Solanum lycopersicum: one gene and its partners. The protein of the gene in region 1 binds, or shares a complex with, the protein of each later gene. Links are inferred from orthologs where the notes say so. Each region holds a gene or a part of one and is shown on either strand. Other genes may lie near its edges.

Region 1 (2,981 bases):
ATCATATTTCACTAAATTTTCTTAGATGTATTTGATCTTGTAAAGAATTATTAATTTATGATATTAATGGAACCACATATTTATATAAAGGTCTTCTAGAAATATATTATTTCATTATCTTATCGAAATTGATGATTTCAATCCATTGATCTAAGTCGAGACAAGAGAAAAACATTATTTTATAGAGATTATTAATTTATCGAATATTTACTGTATGTCCATTAGCATTATAATTGAAAAAGATGTAAAGGCATATCAAACAGAGGAAAATAAGACTTGTTAATTGTTATTCAAATTCTCCTATTTTAAATTCCATTAATGATTAGACCAATCTAGAAAGGCTAAAAAAACCAACAGCTTTAGATTGCATGAATTAAAGCAGAGCATAAATAAATTAATCATACCCCAAAAAAAGTTTGTTTCGATCTTTTGGAAATAAAACAACAAAATAAATGACTCTCTGTTAACTAACCTTCGTTAGTGACTTCAGAAAAGATCACTTGTATAAAATTGTCATTGATTTAGTAGGATTTTAAAGACCTCAAAAAGAAAGTTAAACGTAACTAATCTAAAGTTTGGTGTAACAAATACAATCCAAAGAAACTTCGTTAACCAACCACTCTCAGGCCACATACTACATTATAGGTTCGGAATTTCTTTGTACAATGGAGCTGATTTTTCTATGCTTCCTCAGAAAAGCAGTCGATGTGAAAACACTGACTAGAATCCACACTTGGCTCCTCTTTTGACAAGAATTTTCCAGCAGAAAAGTTTCGGTAAGGGCGATTAACAGGGGGCAGTAGCATGGCAGACTCTTTGTCCATTGATAGTAGACGGCTACACTTGCTGCAAGCTTTCGAGAACAAAGTCTGATAGCTGCAAACCCACAGCAGCAAAGAAAGCAAGGGTGACTCAGTACCAACACCTGTAAAATGCTGTAAAGCCATAGCAGCATGCTCCGTGATGTGCCTAAATACATGATGAACGGAGAATCCCCTCGCATGAATGTAGCTACCACCCTCGTTTGGCGAGAAGAATGCTACAGCGTCGGGATCCAAGGAACCAGCAGGGGAAACTGATGCTATGGCTCTAAAAACAGAAGGAATCAACAATTCGATTATAGCAACCTTGTCTGAAACATCATCATCAGATGATCCTTGTCTTAATGTTCTCGTGCTTTGGAAAGTACTCTCTTTTGATAATTCAATAGAATTTTCACTGGTCGAAGAGGGCAATGAGGTAGCTCGCAACAACCAATCCAAACGCCGGTAAGAGAATGTTATTACATTTGAGACCTCCTTTTTCAGATGTGTCAAAACTTCAGACACTGATTTCAGTTCACAAGTTTCTTCTTGATCACTTGATGGAGGACCACGAAGTTTCTTTGTCACACCCTCCCCACCATAATTGGTATCAAGGTGGGGGAAAAATCGTCTTTTCTGACCATTGAAGGCCTTGAGAGCTAACCTGGTCCTATCAACTGCAGATGCACCAGCCTGACCAGCAAGTTGTCTCTTCCATGCATATGCAACAACAGCACCATCAGGACAAACCAAAGGCATGTGGAGGCCCCATGAATTACTTCGTGATCGGAGGGAATCATTGAGGACACCAGAATCTTCTAACTGTCTTCCAACAGAGCGAAGCTCTTGAAGGTGTTGTCTCATGGAAGCTTCTTCTTTGTGGATAAGATGCAAAGGTTTAGAAGAGTGTTGCCGCTGAGCTGACACAAATAGGGCTTCCAACAGCCGATCTGCGCCAATTCTAATATCAGCTATGAGTCGACTCGCCTGCCCCAGTCGCTCCAGTGCCATTGCCACCTGCTTTGGCGGCGCATCTCCACTCATCTCATTGGACTCCGCAGCTGAAGCTCCTTGTACCGCCGACGTGTGTGATGATAGTGTTGATTGCTGCATTTATGCAAGTCTGAACCTTGGGAGGTTTTATTATTGGCAATTATGCTCCGTGGATGAGGTGCTGTTTTCATTTTTGGAAAAAAGAACTGAGTGAGAGTCCACCTCAACCAGTAACCATAAAAGACGGTTCAATAACAACAATTCATCACATCATATTTCCAAAGTCTCAACGGTCACCTCAACAAACTCATTTTGACATCACCTAGCTTTAAACATGCAAGTGATATCTACTATCGTGCTTCAGAATTAAAATCCTACCAAGAACCCCATAAAACAAGGAACAAGTACATAAAGTAGCGAAGGAAAGCAAAAATGAACCAGAACCTCAAGCTAAGAGGACGTACGAATGATTGTAGCCTCCTTTTCCACTTTGAAGAAGGAGACCGTTCATCACTCAACTTTATAGGACAACTTGATACAGCAAACAATCACTCTGTATTTTTTGTCCAACTGTACAGCTCGGACAATATACCCCCAGAATGAGGGGGCAAAGGATTTTTACAGCTATTCCATATAGATAATTATAGCAACATGTAAAGAGGTTGTCTGAGTAACTGTAGCCTCCTTTTCCACTCTAAAGAAGGAGACTGTTCATCACTCATATGCTGTAGGACAACAGGATACAACAAACAATCACTTGGTATTTTTTGCATTCCTTTTTTGTCCAATTGTATTGTATGAACAAAGGACCCACAAATTGAAAAAAAGAGAAGAGTCTCTACAGCTATTCCATATTTCACAAAATTATACAGCGACACACTAAGAGGATGTACGTGTGATTATAACCTCCTTTTCCACATTGAAGGAGGAATATATTCAACAGAAAAATTTTGTAGGACAATTGGATATAAGAAACCATCACTCAATATTTTCTGTCATCATTTTTTTTCAGACTTTAGGGGTTTCGATGTGATCTATCCATCTTGACATGCAAGCACAGCAAAGTCTGTTAAGTGCATATATATAGTTTAAGTGACAGGTAGTGGATTTCCCTCTTCTATCAAGAAAAGGTAGGAATGGGGGATGGGGGATGGGAATAATGACTTTGAAGTTCCAATGCTTTCA
Region 2 (3,623 bases), on another chromosome or scaffold:
CAAAAGATGCTCTTAAGCATTGTATGTTGCCTCAAAACCCATTTCTTCTTGGGTCTGCATAAAATTAATGAAAAGAGCGTTGTTTTTTCTGATATATATAGCTTTATAGAGTAGCCTCTGCTTGTCATCCCTTCAGACGATTCTCAATAACCATCAGAACTTTTACATCATAGATCTCTCATTTACTAGTATTAGTTTGCGTTATTGGACAAAGACGTTTCCAAGTGCAGTGACAAGTGAGAACTTCTGTTTTCAAAGTTATTATACAGTACAACTAAATATTAGACTGAGATAAGGTTAAATGGAGCGACATGGATACTGAGCATTTGTGTAGCAATCAAGATGTAGTTGTAAGCTAAAGCGTATTTACTAATACTGCTACACTCAAAGCGTCATAATACTCTGTTGCAACAATTCCAGAGGTCTCCAAAGCCTACTGAATGAGTTCATCAGGGTTAACACAATTAACTAAAAAGCCACTTTACAAGATTGGAGATATATTTCCTAACAAAAATCGATTATAAACATAAATACTCGAGAATATAAGGTACACATAGCAGACACAAACATACAGCCTGTTTGTATATGTTGGTATGCTTAAGATCTAAATAAAGCTAACAGTGCAGTAGCTCATACTGCGATAAAAGTAAATCTCTGTGCCTAGAAAACACAAATGTAAATTTGCCAGATCTTCTCATAAGATGGCGAGGGAGGGAGGCGGTAAAGGTGGTTTACAAATATCATTCCAAAGTATTTCTTCTACATCGTTACAACATGACTTCATACATCAAACATCAACTTTAGCGGCTTACTAAGGCACATAAGATCTTCTGTTTCTCTCTGCTGATCACCAGACTCTGTAGTTACCTGAAAACAGTCACAACTAATAGTTCTTTGTTTTACAGCGATGAAAACAGAATAAAACGAAACCAATTTTTTTTTTCTAGTTTCCATTTGTCTGTCAGAAGTGTTGGGTCAAACTCAGCTTAATAAGTAAGGATAGTACATAATTGATCATAAAAAAAGAAGTTGGGTCAAACTTAGCTTAATAAGTAAGGATAGTATTCTTCATAAATAAAGTAAGGATAGTACATATAACATAATTGCTGCAGAAACTAGTGGTTACTCACAGTTATTCGTTCTGATGGAAGAGAACATATGATGCCACTAAAAAGCAGTTTTGTTAGCTTCTACTACTTTTCTATCAACCTGGAAATTTATACAAGACCAGCGGTTTTGTAATAGCAGCTCTTATATATGAATCAGTTTCAGTTCCAAGGGAATGTTCACTTATTTGCTTCATCATCAAGTCTAGGATACAAAGCCTATCACTAATAGTTCATTAAATAATACAAATTTGTTTCCAGATTATTTAACATAGTCAACGGAAACGACAAGGACAGGAAGTATCAGCGAGATTTCAGTATACCTATTGAGCTGCATCTTCAGAAAATCTGGCATCAAATGGAGCAGAAGGATTGGGATGTACTGCTGAAGCACTATTCGCTCCAGAACCATGTTGCAGTTCTATCACTAGCCATCTTACAGCTTTACTCATCTGCTCCAACCTAACAGCACTAATGGGTTGAAGGCCACTTGCAGCTGGTTGCCCAGGCTTCCCTGAAACAGTGCCTGTAGCCTCATCCACAAGACACTCGGAGCCAATTCTTTGCTTAACCGATTCCACAAACTCCTCCGCCTGATCACACGCAACCCTGAACAACTCCCACTTTTGCTTAAAGTTTTCTAATGCAGCATCAGTTGCTGCTGTTTTCTGACCATTAGAACTCTCCTTTGATTCAAGTACAACAGCTGATGCTGCAACAAAGTCTTGATATGCACTGCTCAGTGCATCTACGAGATTATCCATCACAACCCCTCGAAGCCCTAATTGATCACTAACCTCCGTAAATCTATAAAGGAGAGAATAAATTAGCAAGAACATCATTAAAAATTTAATCTTTGTATCAAGACCATCATTAAAAATTGAATCTTTATAGCAACAACATCATTAAAATTGAATCTTTAGCAAGACCATCACTAAAAATTGAATCTTTGTAGTAATTTCATCATTAAAAATTGAATCTTTGTACAACAATTAAAGAGCTATTATGCTATCAAATTCTGCATACAAAAACAAACCCAAGAAACAATTTTCTATGATTACCCAAAACACTCAAAAGCAAGAAATCAACTGAAACAAAATTGATGCAATACACAAATTTCTTGAAAATACTCAAATAAATTTAAGCAAATGAAAAGAAGAAAAACCACAAAGACTAGGGTTTTTCTACTTACTTGACTGAAGGAAGAAAATGGCTTCCACAATCTTCTCCTCTGTCTTTTTTTGGTTTTTTTCTCTTCTCCCCTCACTCTGTTTCGAAATAATTACATATTCCTCCCCAATAGTTTTCATTTGTAACACAAAGCTTCCCTTTAGTTTCAAAATTAATATTTTAGAGTGTAAGATTTTTAAAATATATTTGAATAAAATCATAATTGAGTAATAATTGTTTGAGTTTCTAATAATTATTTATATATATACGAGTGCTATTTTATTGGACTAAAGGAGTAGTATTATTTATGTATCTTAATTTTTATTTTATTTGTATTTTCATCATTAGTATTATATATTAAGTGTTCTATGTACATTAAAATGAGACATATATTTTTTTTCATTTGTTAGTGTTATATATTATTGATGAGTAATTATATTATATGTGATGAATAAAATTAATTTTACATTAATGTTTAAATTAAATATTTTGTTTAATTGCTCAAACTTGTCAAATTCATCGGTGACCTCCTAAACTTGCTATCGATTTTCACTTAGAACACCTAAATTAGGCGATGTTCATTTTAGACACCTCGTGTAGGGTTCTGTTGTGTCATTTTGGCACTTTTTGCTGACATGTCAAAGTGAGTGTGATACACTTAACAATAGCGCGTGAAAGACTTAATTTAGCCATTTTTAATTTTATTTTATCTTCTTCTTCTCCAAGCCACCACCCCCTTTTTTTTCGAATTTAAATTCCTTCAATGGAGGTCAAATTTTTTATTCAAATTCGTTGTTAAGTCATTTTCTTCTTCATCATTGTATTACTTATCTAAGTCTATCTTCACCTCACTCTATTTTTTGCCGGAAAAATGGATACCAACACCCATATTTCATGTTTATTCTCTCCCTCCTTTCTTTTTTTAAAGAAAAACAATACTAAAAAGAAGAATAAATATGAAAAATAGTAAAAGAAAATAATATTTTTTTGTAAAGCACAAAAGAGATTTGAGTGTAATGAAATAAGAAATTTTCGTAGAATAATATTTTAAATTTTTTTACTAAATAGATTTTATAATTATTTTTAACTGAAAATAATACATGTAATTATTTAATTGATTGTTTGCCACGTCATCAACGAGTGTATTACACATTTACACTCTCCTTTAGTTTTTTATTTATTGTCAGAAAAGTATCAAAATGACACAGTTGAACCTTACATGGGGTGTTTAAAATGAACATCGCCTGATTGAGGTATCTAAGTGAAAATTGGTGCCAAGTTTAGGGGCCATCGATGGATTTGACCTAACATTTTTCATACGCATACAATATCACATAAGACCAACTT
Region 3 (3,500 bases), on another chromosome or scaffold:
CATTGTTTATAGTAACACAAAAAAGGTAGGGTGAATCCAGGCATAAAAAAAAACCCAATATGAAAATGCAAGGACCAAGTGTTTTGGGTCAATCTAAATGCTAAAGAGCCTAGCAATAAATTGAGGAGCAGTTGGGAATTCAAGTCAAAATAGTTCATAGATAGGGTTTTAGTTCACCACTAGAATATATTCACACGCTAGTTGCTACAAAAGGGATAATATTGAAACCATATAGAAAGAAGGCGTATTTTTATTGTTTCCGTATAGATTTGTACTGAGTGCTGCTCAGGCACAGTAAGGCTGAGGGACACTTAAGAGCCGGGAAGTTTGTGGTAGGGATTGGGCATTATCATATGTTGAATAAGTAGACACTGAATGACAGTCTGGTACAAAGACTGAGCAGCCAATTGAAAGTCTCAGGTTGCATATAGCATTCAATAAAATGCATTTGTCTTTATTCTAGACAGTCGTCTTATACTTAGTTCAGATTATTTAGACATACTCACAAGCTGAAAGAGTACTAAAGAAGTAAAACTCATGTCTCGTTCACATAAAGTAATGTTTGATTTTTCCATACAATATTCTATCATAGCCATCAAAGTTTTCAGAACAGAACTATAAGTGGTAGTTTGGGGTTGATGATGTTCCAGTTGCAGAAACATAATCAATAAAAATGAAAGAGCAGGCACAAGGAATGATTGTTAAAAACCACTCTGAGTCGAGTTTCAGTTTGCATGCAAGCTGAAACTTCAAGAAATATTCCACCATATTGCATTTGGTCATTCTACTCTCTCTCTAGCAGTCATGGACAAAGATCAGTTTTTACTTTTTTAACTCTAAAATGCACCTGAATGGACCTCCTTTTTCTTTTAAGAACCAATATAGTCTACCACGGAGCTCTCATGTTTGGACGTGCAGTTTTGTACTTTTATCCTGTAAGTAGGCAGCAGAAAATTACCTCTATTTTAGGTCTTTTGGCATTGGATGTTGCTGTTGACTCTAACTCAGGTGTTTCAGAATAATTCACCTGCCAGAAACTATCATTCAAACTGCTGCTTGACGACACAACGTTGGAAGTTGTATATCGCTTCATTTTCTTTGTTCCTGTAGGTCCATCCTGCGTAAAGTAGTTTCTCGCTTGGAGACGACATTTGGTCATGGCAACCAAATCTTCGCCAACAGCTGCTCTTGACCCATTTCCTGGAGCAGATCCTGCTATTCTATCATTCATACTGACAACTGAATAGATGTCTTGAACTGACGACTGCAATGCTTTGTCAGACATGTTTTTAACCTGAATGTAATAAACAAGTCAAATCAATGAAGACAGATTATTGGGATTAGTGAAGATACAAATTAAGTAGAATGGTATAATACAAACCGCTCTCATCAAGCGATCCAATGGTTGTTCAACACTTGACCTGCCAGGAACAGCAGCTGAGACATTGGCATGTGTACCATCTAGAGGAGTAAACTCAGCAAGCAAAGGTGAGGCTGATATCCCAGGAGTACCAATTGCAAGGGATTGGGCAGGTGCAGAAGCAACAGTAGCTTGCTGATGCATTATATTTCCAGCAGTGGTATGTGATCCAAGGCCAGCACCAACTTTTTCAGAATCTCCCGGCATTGGAGATGGAGCCAAGGGAGTTGAAGGAGAAGGGACAACAAACGGTGAGCTTGCGGATTGGAGAGGAGTCCCAGCTTTTGTAAGAGACGCCAACATATTTTGTTGGTCAATTTGTGGAGAAGGATGTTGGGTAACCTGAGGAGACAGTGCTTGATGGAGTTGAGGTGAAGATATTCCTGGCTTCAATTGGGGATGATGAGATCCAACACGCTGGCCAACTGACTGTTGCTGTAAAACTCCTGGTTTTATCCCCATTTGCTGCCTTATCTTTAGGTCATTAGCATCAGTCATCTGTTGAAGCTGAGACATCTGGTGGGTTGGCAACAGCGTGGTCTGCTGTTGCTTCGCTTGCTGCTGTTGTATTATCTGCTGTCTTTGAAAAAGTTGCTGCTGCATATGCCTATGGTGGTATTGCTGTCTTAATTGCTGGTTCTGCAACATTTGCTGCTCGTGCTGCTTAGGAAGTGACTGTTGCAGGGCGTTTGAATTTTGCTGTAGGGAACCGAGGTTTGCCTGTACGGGGTTTGTTCCACTTTGTGAGCTTAATGAGCTCATGTTAACTTGTTGAGGACTGTTAACAGGATTCTGTTGTAAAGAGCCAGTAGCCACCTGCTGCAGTGAGTTCAATGAATTACCCTGTCCCAAATCCACAGTGGAACCAGGCTGTACTGTATTTATCATGTGCTGCTGGGAGTTGGAAATTGTCGGTACACCAGACAAGGTATTATGTTGCAAGTTGGTGAGATTATTCTGAGGCATTGCTGCCATGGAACCCTGTGAGGGTTGCATCGACGGATTAGATTGACCATCAAGAGATGGTGGTTGCTGAAGCTGCATGGAAGACTGAGGAAGCTGTCCCTGCAGTGGAGAAGAAGAAGGCTTGCTGCGCGGCCTATTGGAACTAAGAAAGAAACTTATGTGCTTCTCAACCGAAGCCAACTTTTCCTTGTGAGAAAGTTGAATATCCTGCTTGTTAAGCCGCAAGAAAAGCACAATGCGTTCCAGCGTGATCTTGAACATCTTGAGCTTTTCAATTTGCTCATTTTGAGGACGCTGAGGAAGAGAATCATGCTTAAAATCAGGAAAAAAAAATCAGTTTAGTCAAAGTCTTGTTTCTTGCCCTTTGCAAACTTTTAAAATTCATGCTTCAAGTACACCTCCCTCCCACAGCAAAGAAAAAGGGAGAAAAACTTAAAACCAACATAAAGAGACAAATAACATAGTGGCCAGGTGCCCAATTCAACAGAATGCTGACTTAAGCGCTCTTAAAATTTAGACAAATCAAGCCCTTGCCCGAAGAATTAGGGAGGCCTTGAACCCTTCCCCAAGGGAACATAAAAGTGGCATCTACATCACAGTATTCACCTAGATATGTGTAAATAGCTCATTTTATGGTGTCCTCCACCTCTACTTTACAATCATACACAACGCTTCAACACAGGCAAACATGCTGCACCATACATAGCTAGTAGAATTGCTCCAAAAATGATAAGAATGGATTAAAATGTTGATGACATACCTGTTGCACTTTAGAAGCAATTTTGTGGTATAGATCATTGAGCTCTGCTAAGTACGACTCCTTCATAGACTTTATCTGCATTAAAAATTTGCATCAGCTCAGAATTGCGCAAATGTCAAGACTGCATTCCCATATGGAGAGGTAATAATTAGATCAACTTTCCGATACAGTAGAGAACAAACTAGAGAATCCTCATGAAAGAACCTTCCAGATAAAAAGTTAAAAGTGAAGTGGAAGCGGAAGACTAAAACTCATTAAAGAATCCATTTTGCATGATTCAACATGTGAATGAAAAAATAAACAACTGAACTTTGCTTCCTTCAGCTTCTTGGTACACGTTTCTGCTCGGTGCTA
Region 4 (3,937 bases), on another chromosome or scaffold:
GTGCAAAGAAGTAAAGTATGTCCTTACCTTGATTAGTTGCATGAACTCACTACAATGGTTGTTAATAAGCTCCTTCCTGGGGCCGCTCGGATTTGCCATTTCATCCATTACACCTCCTGCTAGCTCCAGAACTCTGACTATCCTCTGCAAGCATCAGAGGAAGATACAGCAACAGAAGGTATGAGAGTAATGTTTCAGTTACAATTTTTTCTATCAAGAAAAGTGATTACTGACTCCGCATTGAAAGTTATGATCGTGATTTACTCATCAAATTACGATTAGTTGCCTTTGCACTTGACATGCTATATCATCTCCACGTTTTTAATCTGAAGAAACCAATGACTAGGAAACAACAGAGATGCTGTTTCCGTTAGACCAGAGAAAACTCGTGTCAGTAGATATTCAGGGCATATGACAGGACGATCTCGAATACGATTTGATTTCCAACTGTTGAAGATCAGCCTGGAGTTTGTGGAAGATACTCAATGAGCCAGACAGGAAGAAAGCAACCAACAGAAGCAGAAGTTTGAAAAGCCCTTTCAGATCCTATTCTCGGTCCACAGCGTCTTTGATTTATTCATCATTGTCGTCATCTCAACACTATTCCCATCTTCATTCTCTGACTTCGAATTATATTATTTTGGCTGATTTGAGGATGGGTTGAGTTGGGTTGGGTCAGCCCATTTTGACAGTTAGGTGGGTGACATGAAATTCTTAGTCATGGTTATCTAGCCAAGCGGCTCTTGTTCTCATTCATTTCATTTGTCCGGTTGTCCCAGAAATTGAAGGATCCGGAACTCCAGAAGGCTTAGGAGAGCTCAATGGTGGAGTCCCTTACCGAGGCATAACACCATCCATATATCTTCAAGCTTGTCTATGTGTTTCACCCAATCAACGAAATATGGATTTCACCTAAATTCAAAAAGTACTCTCCTCGCTCTCTTTCTTTCTTGAAACATTTTGGTATACAGGATAGGGGAACAAGTAACAAGGACTCGGGCAAGGAAGGAATAATATTGTAGTATCAATTCTGAAATCAGAACATTAAGTATTTTGATGACAAAGAATAGCAGCTACTGAAATCAACCCATCTTAAGTCAATAATCCTGTAGAAACATTTACCTTCTCAACATTTTGCAGCCGCTGCAATGAAGTATTCTGGCTTTGCGAATCCATGTATTCTGAGGGAAGCTGTCAGGACAGGAGAAAAAGATTACTGAATTGCAATGCCGTAGAGCGATCTAGATGTGGAGAAATAAACAGAATCTATAAAACCTGATTATGTGCAGTTTTCAGAGATTTTGGTTCTGAGATCTTTGCAGTCAAATAATTAAACAATCAGAAACCTAAATCCTCTGTAATCAATCCGAAAACAGAAGAAAAACTTACATCTAATAAGTATTATGTCCATTAAACTTACCACCCTACTACACTCTTTCAAGGTACGGGTTTGGCCGAAATCAACAACTTTTCTCTGAACTCTATATTTGTCTTAAGAAATCTATTTAATATGTATAAATTATTAATTTATAAGAGATTATTTTATCCTGCGTGTAGTTGGCAAGATGCAGGATAACAATCTCATGCGATATGTTCTAAAATGTTGAGATTGGCTATTCCATATAGAAGTTGGATAGCTGATCCCACGAGAGAAATCCTTGTCTATTCCATCCCCCATACCGAACGATCAAGGACTAGAACACTGAACCCGTAAACTTCAAATCCTAGCTCCGCCTTTACCCCCAAGACCTGCTGATTATCAAACGAGCAATCCTAACATTTCACCGTCTTCCTCTAGCATTTCTGCAAAGGGGCTATTTCCTTCGACACTCAAACCCATTGCCAGACTTGATTAATCACCCCTTACTGTTCAAATGGAATCATTTCGTTTTTTGCAATTTTCTAATTGTTCAATAGTCTTATAAATTTGAATTCAATTTTTCAAATTCTATCTCGGAGTAGCCATTCACTCAACTCCGAATGAGCTCTTTCGAATCGTTCAATAGCCCTGAACCTGAGATCTGCAGTTTATTAAACAAGCAACCAGTGATAGTCTTATGTTTCTTCGCTGTTCCAAATTTGTCCTACACTCTCAAAACCTCACTAATTTCATATTCCACTTACTTCATTAACTCTTTGTCATCTTCTCTCTTCTCCATTTTTTGGAGGAATTCATCACTCATATCTCTGACTGCAGCGGCTCAACCCTAAAGCCAGCCACTAAAGCAAGCAGTGGATTTAGGACCCAAAAAAATAAGGTCCTCAAATTACAAATCCCTGAAGCTCCGAAAGAACCAAAAAGCCCCAAATTCAGCTCAAATGCACAACGATATTTCATATCATGCATGAGTGAAACAAAGCTCAGATACAAATACAAATACATATAAGACGCACAGGCACGAAATATTTTTCTTATTATTAAAAAAGGAGCCAGCGAGATGTCTGATATCGGCATCTACAAGTGAGAAGTCAATCATACCTTACCTTCAACGGCGGCTATGAGTGGCAGAAGAACGGCAGTCACCGGTGGTCGGAGATAGTCTCAGCTCCGAGTTGTTGCCTGTAATTTTTATTTTTTATTTTTATCATACAAGCATGTAATTGAATAAACATATTGCTTAAATTAACGCATATTTTTTTTAAAAAAAAACATTTTTTCAATTTTTTATTTGTTTAATATGTTATAAAGGTTTTAAAAAAGATATAGCAAACAAAAAATTCAACATAGTGTGAAATTAGGTCTTAGGCGTAACTCACACCCCAAAAGCTAGCTCAAAAGGAAACTCACACCTCAAAAGCTAGCTCAAAGGGTGGAGGATTGCTCAAGCCTTATAAGGAGTTCACTCATCTCATTAATCACCGATGTGGGACTTTTTGTCATTCTTTAACACATAGAAACTATATAATTCTCTATACATATACAGTTGAAGCAAATTGTATAAAATGAAGTGTATAAAACAAAAAATAGAAAGACACTTGGGCAGAGAACTGTATAAAAACGAAGCGTATAAAGCAAATTGCATTATTATAAGTGTATAGAACGATTATATAAAATTTGAATTTGTATAAAATGAGAAAGAGAAAGACAAAAAAGACTTGACAAGGAATATACAATTGAATAGAATTGTATAAAACGAGAAAGAGAGAAATTAGATACAATTTGAGAATTGTATAAAACGAGAAAGAGAGAAAGACAAAAGAAATTGGGCAGGGTGGTATTTTTATTGTATAATTATAATTGTATAGGACGAAAATATATGTACTTGCATGTGTATATACAATTTTCTCATGCTTTATACAAACAGAAACGCAATTTATACATTTCGCTTTTGTTTGTATAAGTGAGAAAGGCGAGGGTGGCGAGCGAGATTTGGGAGAGTGGCGAGCGAGACCTGGAAGAGGGGAGAGAGAGGAACAAAAATATATGTATTTATACAATTTTCTCTGCTTTATACAATTAGAAACAATTTTTATACACTTGTGTTTGTGTAAAAAGTGAGGAAGCGAGTGAGAGATTGGAGGAGAGTGGCGAACGAGATTTTTGGGATAGAGGCGCCTGACAATTTTTTTGCAAACGTTTACTATGAAGCATAATTAAATCAAACCCTACCTACTCTATTTATTTTAGGTTATTAGTTTGCTATATACAATTTTCCCTTTAAAAATACATTTGCTGATTAAATGAATATATACTAATCTAAAAACTATTTATTTTCAAAAACGTTTTCTTAAAACAAGTTTTTTAAAAAAACTTTTTAGCAAATTCATTTGAAAAGTGTTTTTATAAGCAATATGTGTTTGACTAATTTTTTTAAAAAGTGTTTTTATAAGCAATTTGTGTTTGAATAATTTTTTTAAAAAGTGTTTTTGAAAGTCAAATTACGAAAAAAAACAAATATCGATGTGCTTTTAATATTAAAATTATTTTATAGAGAGA
Region 5 (4,084 bases), about 6.1 Mb from region 1:
CCTCAAAATTTAGTTTTTCAAATATTTCTCATTATGTATAATTAAAGAATTATCATTTATCTGCTTAAGTAGAGCTAAAAAATATTTTGTTTGATCGAAGATTGATATATTAGTGGGTGAAAGTGAAAAAGAAAGCATGAAACAATTGAGCCAATGCACCATTCCTTAATTACCAATCCGACATTAAATGAACCATTACCTTATTAGTTGGCTAGTGGATCAGTCTATTTAAAAATCAATATCCGACAAGCCAAATAATTAAGCATAACTATCCATCTGATCCGTCCAATACACAAACCTAAATTTTAGGTTATTGAAAATGTCCAAATAATATATATGGACTATGATGATCTAGTTGTATAAAATAAATGTGATATTTAAGATACAGACATCAAGCTATTAAAACACACTATAAAAAATGAGAGAATGAAAAGAGTGATCCTATAAACGAAACTAATTTGAATTTATGCTAAAGCGTTTGATTGCATAAGTGTCATATATCTCATAATGAAATTGACGGAATCTCCCTTCATCATTATACCTCAATGCATTATTTAATTTTAATTACGTGATAGTTTTTGAGGTTAAGGTATGCCTCCAAACATGAGAATGAAACTCCATATATTCAGAGATGTTGATCTTCTTCATTAATGTGAAAATAACCAGTTTAAAGCTTGAAAATTTGTAGTGAAACAATATTTGAAAATAATAGTTAAAACTTTTTGACGAATAAATAATGTAACGGTGCATATAATTATCAAATAGACGAAGCCATCATCACTTTAAGAAAATCAAGAAATGTGTAATTTCTTGAAAGAGAATTCTGAAACTGGGGCGGAGTAATAAGGGACTACGAGGACATGTTCATCTCTGGACCTGGACAAACAAGTGGGCGAATACTATGACTATAATAATTAGATTTCACTATTACGTGATAATTTTTTAAACAAGTATACCAGAAGTAAATTCGCAATGATTTATTAGACGCGTAAATCAAGAAATTTAAGTTTCATGAAGAATAATTCAGGTCACAGATGAATAATAAATGAATGATTGTTAAACACCGTTTTAAAGAAAAAATAAAATAATAGATAAGTTCTTACCGCTCAACAGATAAGCTCAAACAATATTTAGGCTTCACATACTTTGAAAGGTATATCAAAAAACGCAATAAAAATATTTTTTCGCACACTTAATAAATATTTTTATATGGAAACTTTCTAAATATTATATTTTTTTCTAAATCAACATGATTTAAGGAGATGAATTTTTATAAACTTGGTCAAATAGAACTTTAGAGGTTTTATATTAGTTTTGACTTCTCTCCGACTAGTAGTACCATATTCCAATTTTGCACACCCTCTCCCTTCCGCCGTTACGCGTTACCTTCAGACATCCGATCTATCAAAAAGGGAAAAAAAAAATAGAACAACACTCGCTTCATTCACTCTCTCTACAGGTCGGAGATTCATATTTTGTTTCAAATTCCACAATTTTTACAAACCCTAATAGTAATTGATTGTTTGGGCGGTCAATTTTCATTAAATGGCATTGTATTAGTAGGAATTCGGGATCGTCGGAGTAATTTAATCGGAGGGTTTTGCGGAGATGGCGGAATTAGGGCAGCAGACGGTGGATTTCTCGGCACTGGTAAGCAGAGCAGCTGAGGAGTCGTATGTTACGTTGAAGGAATTGGTGGAGAAGTGCAAGTCGTCTAACTTATCTGATTCTGAGAAGAAAATTGGGATTCTTAAATATGTAGTTAAGACTCAGCAGCGTATGCTTCGTCTCAATGTCCTATCCAAATGGTGCCAGCAGGTTGTTTTCTTTTTTTTTTAATCTATTCACTCCCTCTCTCATTATGTATGTTGATGCATTCAAGATTGAACACTATCTTTTTTTAATTTTTTAGATATAATGATGTGTTTTTCCCAATTTGTGACCCCCTTTATTAATCCAAAGGTACCCGTTACCTCCCACCGGCATAGGTACGGGGAAAATTTTCTTTCCAGGCTTAGGCAGATGGGGATTCTATGTTTGAGTTCTTTAAGGGTTATAAGAAGTGTGCCTTCTTTCTTCTTTGTTGAGGGGTGCGAAGAGTAGTTTTCGACTTCTAGGGTTTCTTTTGTTTCAGGATTTGTGAATTGGAAAGAGGAAAAGGAGAGGATTTTCTCTTTCTTTATTGATGCATTGAGAGAGTAGTGACAGAATGTATATTGGTCATGTATTTGTTTTTGTGAAATTTGTGAGTTGGAATGGAGAAAAATGGATCTTGATTAAGATTAGAAAGGTAGCCGTGAAATGAGTAGGGTGGATGTTGTTTTAGGAATTGGGAAAAGATGGACCACGAGGAGTAATTTAAAACTTAAAATCAGATAGTTAGGGTGGAAGTTCTAGTTATAGTGAATGTCGAGGACAATTGCCAAAAGAAAACAAAAGTTGAGGACAACTTCAAAGGTTTTAAGATTGTACGATGCTCTGTTCAAGTTGTACCAACAGCTTATTTGATGAAAGGCGGAATGATCCAAGAGACCCTTGTATTTGAATCGGATTGTCGATTAGACCCTTCTATTCTCGCCTTTTTTTTTATGACAAGGGAAACCTGGAGCCGCTGCCTTTTGGGTGCACATAGGGTAAAACCCCACTCCTATGCAATAGCTCGCAAACCACATAGGAGAGGTAACCCGCACCAGGCGACTCAGAAGGCAAACCCCCTTGCTTTCACATGCAAGGTGTTTCGAACTTGAGACCTCCAACAAAGCCCTTCTATTCACGACTTTGTCGACTGAACTTTTAGACTCAATGAAACACAATCTTCTAAACCCCTTTGACCCTTCAGATTTTTAATGACATGTCATTTATTTTTAACTTTATTTTGAAGTTTTCAATTTTTTTCCTTATTCACTCCATTTCTCCCTCACCGTCTCTATCCCTTGACCACCTCTTTCCATTTCTTACATCTGATATACCACCATAACTTTCCATCTTTATCGGTAACCACTTCCCAAAAAAATTAAAGACCTCCATTCTCCTCGAAATTTTCATCATTCACAACTTTCGATCACCTTTTTTTTTCAGCAACGCCTCTGTCCACCACTTAAACCACCGTGAAGACTGTCATTTTCTGATGAGATGGTAGAGAAGATGAGCAATCTGGCGATCAGTTCGTTGAAGAAGGGAGAAGATGAAGAGGTTTCCAATATACAAAAAGCTGAACAATTTTGCTCTTTGGGCAATTAACAATTTGGGTTTATTTTATTTTATTTTATTTTATTTTGTTTTGTTCTGGACCAACTTGTTTTGCACTATGTTTTTAATTATAATAAATTGATGACCATTTTTGGTCACGTTTTGACAAAAAAAAACCACCACTGTGAACTCCTCTTCTCCATTGATGCCAATGAACACCACTAAAAGACCTCAATATTTCTGGACATATGCACATAATTTTACACAGCACACACTCCACCTAATTCAAAGAATCACAATCACTCTTCACGCTCTAAAACTACTGGATCTTTGTCACCTAACAATTACGCCAAAAACATGGAAAGGAAGGACAAACCAGGAACAGTAGGACTTATCCCATTTCTAATCTTGGGAGAAAGAGTATGTGTAAAAGAAATAGGGTGGGGTGGGAACAATGGAACTGCTGTCACACCAAAAGAGCTATGAGTTTCCTGTAGATCTTGCTTCAAACAACTTTCTGTAGCATCATTTGAACCTTTAATCTTTGATTTAATAAACTCTTTCGAGGTATATGTTGGTAATGCTATGTACAAGGTTTGTCTTCATGTCTTTCTTCTCCCTTTCATGTCTTCATTTCTTCATCTGTCTTTTTCTGGAAGGAAAGATACACTTGTATTATATTCAGTATCTAGGTGAGTAGAAATATGGTTGTCAAATCTTCCTGGACCCTTAGAATCAACGGTTGGCCCTATATTCTTTATCATTGATCTCGTAGAAACTGCAGTTCAAACTCCGTATTTAAAGTACCAACACAATTATCTGGTTTGCAGGTCCCGTTGATACAATACAGTCAGCAGCTTGCATCCACTTTATCTAGTCATGATACATGTTTCAC
Region 6 (4,167 bases), on another chromosome or scaffold:
GTTTGCTTTTTTTCCTTGTCTAACCAAGAGGAGAAATCAGTCTTCAACATACTTTATGAATTGTGATGATGATATGACAAATGCGTAGACAACCACAAGGGGTCAACATATATTTGTGGGAGCCAAGGTTAATTAATCAACCGTCTTCCATATTTAAGGTATAATAATACCTTGACTATTATAATAAAAAGAAATACACTTAGCCAAGAAGGTTATAGTAGTTAGATGTAATCGAGATATACACCAGTGATTTGGAAGGTGATTAGCTGAAGGTGCTCTGAATTTAAGGTTTTCTATTTCCTTAGATATTACTACAAGCGAGAGGAATAATCAATGTTGAGTGTAATAGAGAGAGGCACTTATAACTTAGAGATCAATATTGATTGGTGGACAGTGAACACCATACACTAATCATAAGTGAAGTCTAGATTCAACTCCTTCTGATTAGAACAAAAAAGTCTATATTCAACTCGTTTAATGAACTGATGGATACTCTTTCACCATCATTCATGTCATAGAACTCTTATTTATATTTCATTTTAGTCAAAAACATTCCGCCTGCTTATCTGATTACTCGAATAGTAATTGAGCAACACTAATTAGGATAGCAGAAACTCAATCCTTGTGGGATCAACATCTGCCATACTATCTTTAACAGGAAACAAGCATTGTTTTAATACTCCGACGTTACCCTCATCAACATGTCAAAGAATCACATGTACATCATCGCAGAGAATCACATCTGTATCATCGACAAAACCATGATAGGCAACACTTTGTTGAAAACAAGGCACTCAACAGTCAACAAGTGAATGAGCAAAAACCATGTGGTCTCGACCTATAAATTAGATGTACTGAAAGTGAATCATACTTGAACCTAATTCCATTCAATAATTGACATGCAGCACCACAGTACAACTAGAATAAGATGGACCATAAAAAAATTATCAGCTATGTACAAACTCAAAGGTGAGAAAACCTCCCTACGAATGCATAGATGGTTGTGAGCATTTGCCTCAGCCACATCAGTACATACATGACCATTGGGTTAGTTCCTAGTTCCATAATAGTTCAAAGAGAAAATACACTTACCTAGGTTAGGGACACTTTTAAGGCACAGTTCATGAATCCTTAAGCTTTGTTTATGTACACCACAAAGCCCTTGAAGCAGAATTTCCAGGGCCTCGACATGCTGCAAGTATGATTAGCACTGTCAAGATCTTTTCAATAATCAATTGCCAAAAACTGTTTCAGTAAATGCCGTAGTATACCTTTTACAAGTAGCATACCTTCTAAAAGATTGAATAAGAAAAAAACGAGAAATAGGGGGAGGTTTTATCATTACTCCAGGAACTTACTTGAGTCTCAATAATTCCCTGAACCACACACTCCATTCGCACTTCAATTTATTCAAACCTACATGCAAAGAACTCTTTAGAACATACCTATGAACCAAAAAGATATTAAGTTTAACAGAAGAGTAACAACGAAAAAGCTAACACCTAACCAAAATCATAACAAAGTTGACACTCTTTGTATGAGAAGTGCATTGCTTGAAGATTAATGGATCTTAATATGAATTTAGTTTTGGATTGAGGCTTAAAGTTTTTGCCCGGATTGCCCCTATTTTGGGGTGGTCTTCAATTATTGCCTTTTCCATCCATAATTAGAAATTTAAGCATTTGGTCATTACTTGTCTTTTGGTACACCCAAATTCTCACCAAGATTTTAAGCATGAAACTTCTAATGATCCAATATGCACCAAAAACTGTCAAACTTGCTCCTTTCATTAGGCTATGACCAAACAACCTTAAGTTTTACTAAGTTTCTTCAAAGAAATAGGTAGTAGTGCTGGAATGGTATCAAGTTTTATCAATGAAGTCACTCCACCATGGGTGATTCTTTTCATGTGGAAAATTAGTCACTTGGACACATAGCTTAACTCCTGTTTGGCAAATATTTTCTACATACGTACAACAACATATATACATTCTATCCTCCCCATAGTCCACTTGTGGGATTTCACAAGGTATGTTGTTGTCATTGTTATATGATGGAGCATGTGCTCAGCAAAAACAACGAATGACTACAAAAATGGAGGAAAGAAAGAGAAAATGGAAAAGGAGAAGAATGGGTGAAGAAAAGACAATACCTTGGACTATATGGTATATGTTGCCTTTGGTTTTTTTCGACTATTTTGGCATCAAAATATGATTTTTCTAGTGCCTGTACAATTTGATCTTTGTTTAACATATCTTTATTGTTATACATCTGTTTTTTCAAAGTTTCTACATCAAACTCCAAATTTTATCATCTATACACACTATTGTATGACATATAAAACACAATCATTTAGCATTGTAGAACTAAACATAAAACATCAGAGCAAAAAATTGAAAGAATTACCTTGAACAGTTGAAGCAATCTCACTTTTTCCCCCAATCTGAGCTGCAAAAATTCAATTAAAAAAAATAGTTCGAAAGCTTAAACAGGCAGACCTAAATTAATCACATAACAAAAAATCAACGATAACAACGAGCCAAAGAAAAAAAAATTCTAGCTAGAAATCTAGGTTTCTATATCAAACAAGGTCCAATTGTAACAAAAAATCCAGTTTTCTACATCAAACAAGGTCCAATTGTAACAAAAAAATCTAGGTTTCTACATCAAACAAGGTCCAATTAATCACATAACAAAAAATCAACAGTAAAAACGAGCCAAAGAGAGATTTTTTCTAGCAAGAAAAATATGTTTCTACGATCAATTGTAAAATTAAGGTTTAGTAATGCAAGCTATGGCTGAGAGAAACCAAAACAATTAGCAGTAACAGAGATAATATGGTGATTTAGTGCTCAATGAAGTGGTCGAAAATATCAAAAAAGTCGAAACTCAAGACATAGGGTTGGAATAATACCTATTGCGAAAAGTGACAAGTATCTCGTAGAATCAATTGAAAATATTAGCGGATTCTTTTCATACGAGTGGATAAATGTCTGTTACGAAAATTTGATTAGTATCTTATATAATTAATTAAAAAATATTAATGGATTCTTTCTATAGGAATGGATAAAATAATTTGATACCTTATACGAAAAATTGATTATTACGAAATTCTTTGATAAAATGATTTTGATACCTTTTACGAAAATTGATAACACGAAATTCTTTCTATATGAATGGATAAAATAATTTGATACTTTTTACGAAAATTAATTATTGCAAAATTCTTTCTATATAAATGAATAAAATGATTTGATTCCTTTTACGAAAAATGATTATTATAGAAAGTGACGAGTATCTCGTAGAATTATTAGAGAAAAGTGGTACTTAGCAGAAGAGAAAATGGTTTGAAAATTTTGGACCCGAATTCGAGTTTAGGCCCATAATTAATTAAGCGACTCAAAGTATAATTTGATAAAATTGTAAGAACCCGATTGAATCTAAACTCAAAATTCAGGGACCAATATTGCAATTTTACATTCCACCTCTTCCAGAAAAAACCCTAAAACCTCGATAACGAAGAAGAAGAAGAAATAATGGGATCGAAAAAATGTCAAGTATGTGATGAAGCACAGTCGAGATACAAGTGTCCCAATTGCTTCATCCCCTTGTAATTATATTTCCATCTTTTTTCATTCTTTGAAATTTATTTGAATTTTAATTCTGGGTTTTGAGTTTGTTTTTAGTTTAAACTGAAGGGGAATGGATATAGATTATTCATACAAAATTCAGAGTAAAAATTTTTATATGTAGAAAAACATCATAATTGTAGCAAATAGAGATATGAATTTGTTGATAAGAAACTTAGGTTTCGTTTGGTAACTAGTTAGAATTATGCAGTTATTTTTTATGTCCGGCATAAAATAATATATAAATTTCTTCGTAGCTTATATATGTATTAGTCATGTAGCTTTCTAAATTGCGGACTTTTATACATTGAAATCATTGCAAAGAACCTTAGGTGTCGTTTGGGAGCCGGTTAGAATTATGCAACTGTCAGTTATCTATCTTATGTCAGGCATAGAATAAATACACAAATTTTTCTCATAACTTATATTTGTATTAGTTATATGCGGATTTCTAAAGTGCATATTTTTATACATAAATTTGTCGCAAAGAACCTTAGGTGTGTTAGGTAGCTGGTTAGAATTATTAGCTGTTTGTTAT
Region 7 (3,500 bases), on another chromosome or scaffold:
TCAAGAAATGTAAGCTGAACCAAATTCCTTGGCTACTAATTATGTCTAAGCGTGTATGTCCACATGTAAGTTGTGTCCACATGTTGAAGGACCACATGTAATTTGTGTCCGCATGTTCACACATATAGCTATAGCCTCCCATCAATTTAAACCAAATTCACAGTCAAGACAGATATCAAAACAGAAAATATTTGATGTGTATAATGCCAATAAAATAGAAAATTTCAATTAACTGTCAAACAGAAAACAAAATGAACTCCCTCCCTTTGAAGCTAAATGAAGACATCGGGTCACTTTCTCCACTCCAGAGAAGGCACTCAGTTCACCTTGTCGTGAATTATAATTATTGACCAAATAATAACTTCCAGCATGCATGACAACAACAATAGGAAATACAATTTGACACACCTGCATTCGTGGCAGAAGAGTTTGTGATGGCACCATTGCTGACATATTTGAGATCTGCCATATAGAATAAGTTTAACATAATTCGAAGCAGACTGGACATTTGGAATTTTAAGTTCAAGAAAAGAATGCTCGATAAATTTAGAAATTATGATGCACATATTTTAATGGCAGAAAGCATTTAATTATTTAGTTTAAATGTTAACTTGTATCATTTTAATAAAAATGTAGACGACTTTTGCATTTCCTTAAATTAATTCTTAATTAAAATATAAGTAAATAATTAAATGTTTGGAATGTGAAAAGACATATTTTAATTGTACATGTATATCCTAAAATAATTATTGGCATATGAAAAAAGTGACCCCCCATTTATCCGATTAATGCCATTGATTTTAGTTATTTTATTTATTATTACTATGATATTAAAAGTGTGTTATTATATATGAATGAATTAGTAATAAATTATTGAGATGACTTGTAACTGCCTCATTTATTACTAATTAAAATGATTTGTGTTTTTCATCTTTTTAATTATTCATTCAAACTAGATTAGATTCCAAGTTCAAAGTAATAATTATTAGTGGTAATGTTAATTCTCTTATTAAGTCTATGATTTGTATTTTTCATCTTTCCATCTATCTATATATTAAAGACTATTATTTAGAACTGAAAAATATAGAATTTAAACAGACATTTTTACTACTATTTAAGAACTAGGTGATAACATTGAAAAATGAAAGAAATTGTCATTCAACTGATAATCAAAAAACTATTCCATCTATGATTGGCGAAAAAGACATGAAAAAATAGAATACATGAGGTGGGAGAAGAACTTGAAGACTTCTTTTTAGACATGCCTAACTCCTCATATCTCTTTCGATATATATTCTCCATCACGAAGATTATTGTTGTTTCTAATATCTTTTGCATTTCTAATAAACTCATTGTGGTAATGTAATCTTTTAGCTATTATTATGAGCTTTTGAAATAGATGTATGTATGAGATTCAGTGTTTATCTTGTATAATTTTGATAGTACTGTCTTTTAATTTTAGAACCTTACTTAAATAATATAAATATTTCACTCTATCGTTTCTCATTAAAATAAAATAGGCAATCTTATCAATAAGTGTGCATGTATTTTTAATATCCATTTATGGCTATAAAATGTTATCACTGATATTTAGATCATAAAAAAGACTTATACAAAGTTAAAGGAGACTATATTATGTTAATTAATTTTACATACTTTTTGCTTGATGCCAAATGTGCAATCCCTTTTTATTTATTTTTGTTGATACATGAAATATAATTGGTAAAATTAATATTGTTGATTTAAATATTTTCTATTTGATAGCACAATTTTAAATTATATAACAATAGTAAAGAATAAACGTGCAACGCACGTTGTCAGAAACTAGTAAAATAATAAACAGCTAATAATCAAAAGACACAATGAAGCTTGACACAGAAAAGACCAGATATGCTTTATTTTAGCTGAGGGTCTATCGGAAACAGTCTCTCTACCTTCCCAAGGTAGGGGTAAGACTGCTTACACACCACCCTCTCCAGACCCCACTTATGGATTTACACTAGGTTATGTTGTTGTTGACACGGAAACGACCATTTCTGTGACCAGATGAGCATTGCATTAACATGTAAACCAAGTTAGTTAATATCTATGTCATAGGGGAGGACTACATACACAGCACGCCATGTGATCTATAACTTCATATCCTGTGCTATACAACATTGAGTGCCTTCAGGGGAAAATAAACTAATGGACAAACTATGAGTTGGAACCAAATAGAGATGAAAATTTTCTAGAACTTTTGGTTCTAACAGGTTCAGTACATACAATGCAACAAACATTTAGTTAGAACTATCAGCTTCAAAGATCCCAGAAATTTTCAGTATGTGAAATATCAGTTCAATGCATGAGATAAATAACTTGCATTCTTCAGATGTAACCAGAATATCCCAAATTAATTTATAGAGGCAGAAAACAGCAGAACTAGAGATTTTGAACTTAAAATTCTCGGGCAAAATGAGTAAGTCATTGTGGATAGGCTGAACTGAAGAAGGAAATAACATAAAAACTGATATATTTGACTCACCATCTGAGAGCTAGGTGTGCTTTGGGCAGAATTGAATAGTGCAGTATTCATAGGACTAGAAAACTGGTTTAAATGTCGATTCAGCTGATTTCCTTGGTTGAGCTGACTTTGACCCATACCGTGATGAAGGGCACCAGATGGTAGCTGCCTACCTTGAAACTGCTGTGCTCCCAGTGGCTGAGAGAACTGCATCTGTGGCTGACCATGCAGCTAATAAACAGGTTTATTGGTCACCGTTTGATAAAAGCAGGTTCATTAGCAATTACTTACTCCCCAATAAAATGAACAACAGAAACTAATATATTATACACCAAATAGAATAATAATTATGTTCATGTTTGAAGAAGTCATTCATGGTAAGGTAAGCATATTGAAAGTGCTGAAAATCAATGTTCATTAATTTTGAGAAAACTGTAATGTTGTATTCATATCAGCATAAAGGCTGTGCTGCAGCCACATTTACAGTTCAGAAAATCAACTCTTTTATCTTACAAAGTATCAATTATGTCAAGTAAAGATTCTGTGTCATCTACAAAGCTTTTCCAAAACCAAAAATGAAACCCAAAAAAGTAGCAGAAAATCAATAATTGTCCTCATTTTGTTTAAAAGATTAACAAGTTCATACTCTTTGGAAAATATGTGCAATCCTGGAGTAAAGTGCCCTTTGAAAAGAATCTGAATTGGATATTTACGCATGTCGTATATACAAACAGCCAGTGTGCATGTGTTACTAACTAATCTGAGCTTCTTCCTCCTCATGAATTGTCTGAATGCTAAATAAGGAGAGATGAACCATAACAAGTTTAAAGAGATCAGTGCAAGCAGTGCACTTTTTGCTCTTCAATTTTACGGGGAAATGGTCCCAATTTTCTTTTTTAATTGGTGAAATGGACCTAATTCTCCTTGGTAGATGAAGAAATGAGATAAAATTCCTACCTATTGGAGAAGTTGGGAATCCTGTAGGTTGATCAGGAGC

Evidence for each region.
Region 2: mediator of RNA polymerase II transcription subunit 27 (region 1) and mediator of RNA polymerase II transcription subunit 32 share a complex: the UniProt entries of both Arabidopsis thaliana proteins name them as parts of the mediator complex. The link is inferred for Solanum lycopersicum from reciprocal best matches to the Arabidopsis thaliana genes AT3G09180 and MED32.
Region 3: mediator of RNA polymerase II transcription subunit 27 (region 1) and mediator of RNA polymerase II transcription subunit 15a share a complex: the UniProt entries of both Arabidopsis thaliana proteins name them as parts of the mediator complex. The link is inferred for Solanum lycopersicum from reciprocal best matches to the Arabidopsis thaliana genes AT3G09180 and NRB4.
Region 4: mediator of RNA polymerase II transcription subunit 27 (region 1) and mediator of RNA polymerase II transcription subunit 11 share a complex: the UniProt entries of both Arabidopsis thaliana proteins name them as parts of the mediator complex. The link is inferred for Solanum lycopersicum from reciprocal best matches to the Arabidopsis thaliana genes AT3G09180 and AT3G01435.
Region 5: mediator of RNA polymerase II transcription subunit 27 (region 1) and mediator of RNA polymerase II transcription subunit 14 share a complex: the UniProt entries of both Arabidopsis thaliana proteins name them as parts of the mediator complex. The link is inferred for Solanum lycopersicum from reciprocal best matches to the Arabidopsis thaliana genes AT3G09180 and SWP.
Region 6: mediator of RNA polymerase II transcription subunit 27 (region 1) and MED18 share a complex: the UniProt entries of both Arabidopsis thaliana proteins name them as parts of the mediator complex. The link is inferred for Solanum lycopersicum from reciprocal best matches to the Arabidopsis thaliana genes AT3G09180 and AT2G22370.
Region 7: mediator of RNA polymerase II transcription subunit 27 (region 1) and mediator of RNA polymerase II transcription subunit 8 share a complex: the UniProt entries of both Arabidopsis thaliana proteins name them as parts of the mediator complex. The link is inferred for Solanum lycopersicum from reciprocal best matches to the Arabidopsis thaliana genes AT3G09180 and MED8.

What each region holds. Positions count from the first base shown.
Region 1 is NC_090800.1:77,933,198-77,936,178, reverse strand, and holds the end of mediator of RNA polymerase II transcription subunit 27, read right to left. Parts: intron 1,978-2,981; 5' UTR 1,917-1,977; coding exon 681-1,916; 3' UTR 501-680; downstream 1-500. UniProt on the Arabidopsis thaliana protein: Component of the Mediator complex, a coactivator involved in the regulated transcription of nearly all RNA polymerase II-dependent genes.
Region 2 is NC_090807.1:64,223,280-64,226,902, forward strand, and holds mediator of RNA polymerase II transcription subunit 32, read right to left. Parts: upstream 2,445-3,623; 5' UTR 2,299-2,444; intron 2,297-2,298; exon of another isoform or gene 2,168-2,296; intron 1,914-2,167; 5' UTR 1,871-1,913; coding exon 1,430-1,870; intron 884-1,429; exon of another isoform or gene 868-883; 3' UTR 501-867; downstream 1-500. UniProt on the Arabidopsis thaliana protein: Component of the Mediator complex, a coactivator involved in the regulated transcription of nearly all RNA polymerase II-dependent genes.
Region 3 is NC_090803.1:3,498,766-3,502,265, reverse strand, and holds part of mediator of RNA polymerase II transcription subunit 15a, read right to left. Parts: intron 3,222-3,500; coding exon 3,147-3,221; intron 2,699-3,146; coding exon 1,382-2,698; intron 1,295-1,381; coding exon 959-1,294; intron 1-958. UniProt on the Arabidopsis thaliana protein: Component of the Mediator complex, a coactivator involved in the regulated transcription of nearly all RNA polymerase II-dependent genes.
Region 4 is NC_090803.1:5,625,740-5,629,676, forward strand, and holds the start of mediator of RNA polymerase II transcription subunit 11, read right to left. Parts: upstream 2,801-3,937; 5' UTR 2,485-2,800; exon of another isoform or gene 2,480-2,484; intron 1,192-2,479; 5' UTR 1,177-1,191; coding exon 1,123-1,176; intron 145-1,122; coding exon 28-144; intron 1-27. UniProt on the Arabidopsis thaliana protein: Component of the Mediator complex, a coactivator involved in the regulated transcription of nearly all RNA polymerase II-dependent genes.
Region 5 is NC_090800.1:84,078,038-84,082,121, reverse strand, and holds the start of mediator of RNA polymerase II transcription subunit 14, read left to right. Parts: upstream 1-1,284; 5' UTR 1,285-1,608; coding exon 1,609-1,818; intron 1,819-4,019; coding exon 4,020-4,084. UniProt on the Arabidopsis thaliana protein: Component of the Mediator complex, a coactivator involved in the regulated transcription of nearly all RNA polymerase II-dependent genes.
Region 6 is NC_090805.1:1,888,056-1,892,222, forward strand, and holds the start of MED18 (mediator of RNA polymerase II transcription subunit 18), read right to left. Parts: upstream 2,801-4,167; 5' UTR 2,407-2,800; intron 2,227-2,406; exon of another isoform or gene 2,153-2,226; intron 1,417-2,152; 5' UTR 1,395-1,416; coding exon 1,359-1,394; intron 1,193-1,358; coding exon 1,093-1,192; intron 1-1,092. Other genes in the region: ZNHIT (zinc finger HIT-type containing protein), read left to right, coding at 3,537-3,610. UniProt on the Arabidopsis thaliana protein: Component of the Mediator complex, a coactivator involved in the regulated transcription of nearly all RNA polymerase II-dependent genes.
Region 7 is NC_090802.1:67,519,684-67,523,183, reverse strand, and holds part of mediator of RNA polymerase II transcription subunit 8, read right to left. Parts: intron 2,735-3,500; coding exon 2,525-2,734; intron 463-2,524; coding exon 409-462; intron 1-408. UniProt on the Arabidopsis thaliana protein: Component of the Mediator complex, a coactivator involved in the regulated transcription of nearly all RNA polymerase II-dependent genes.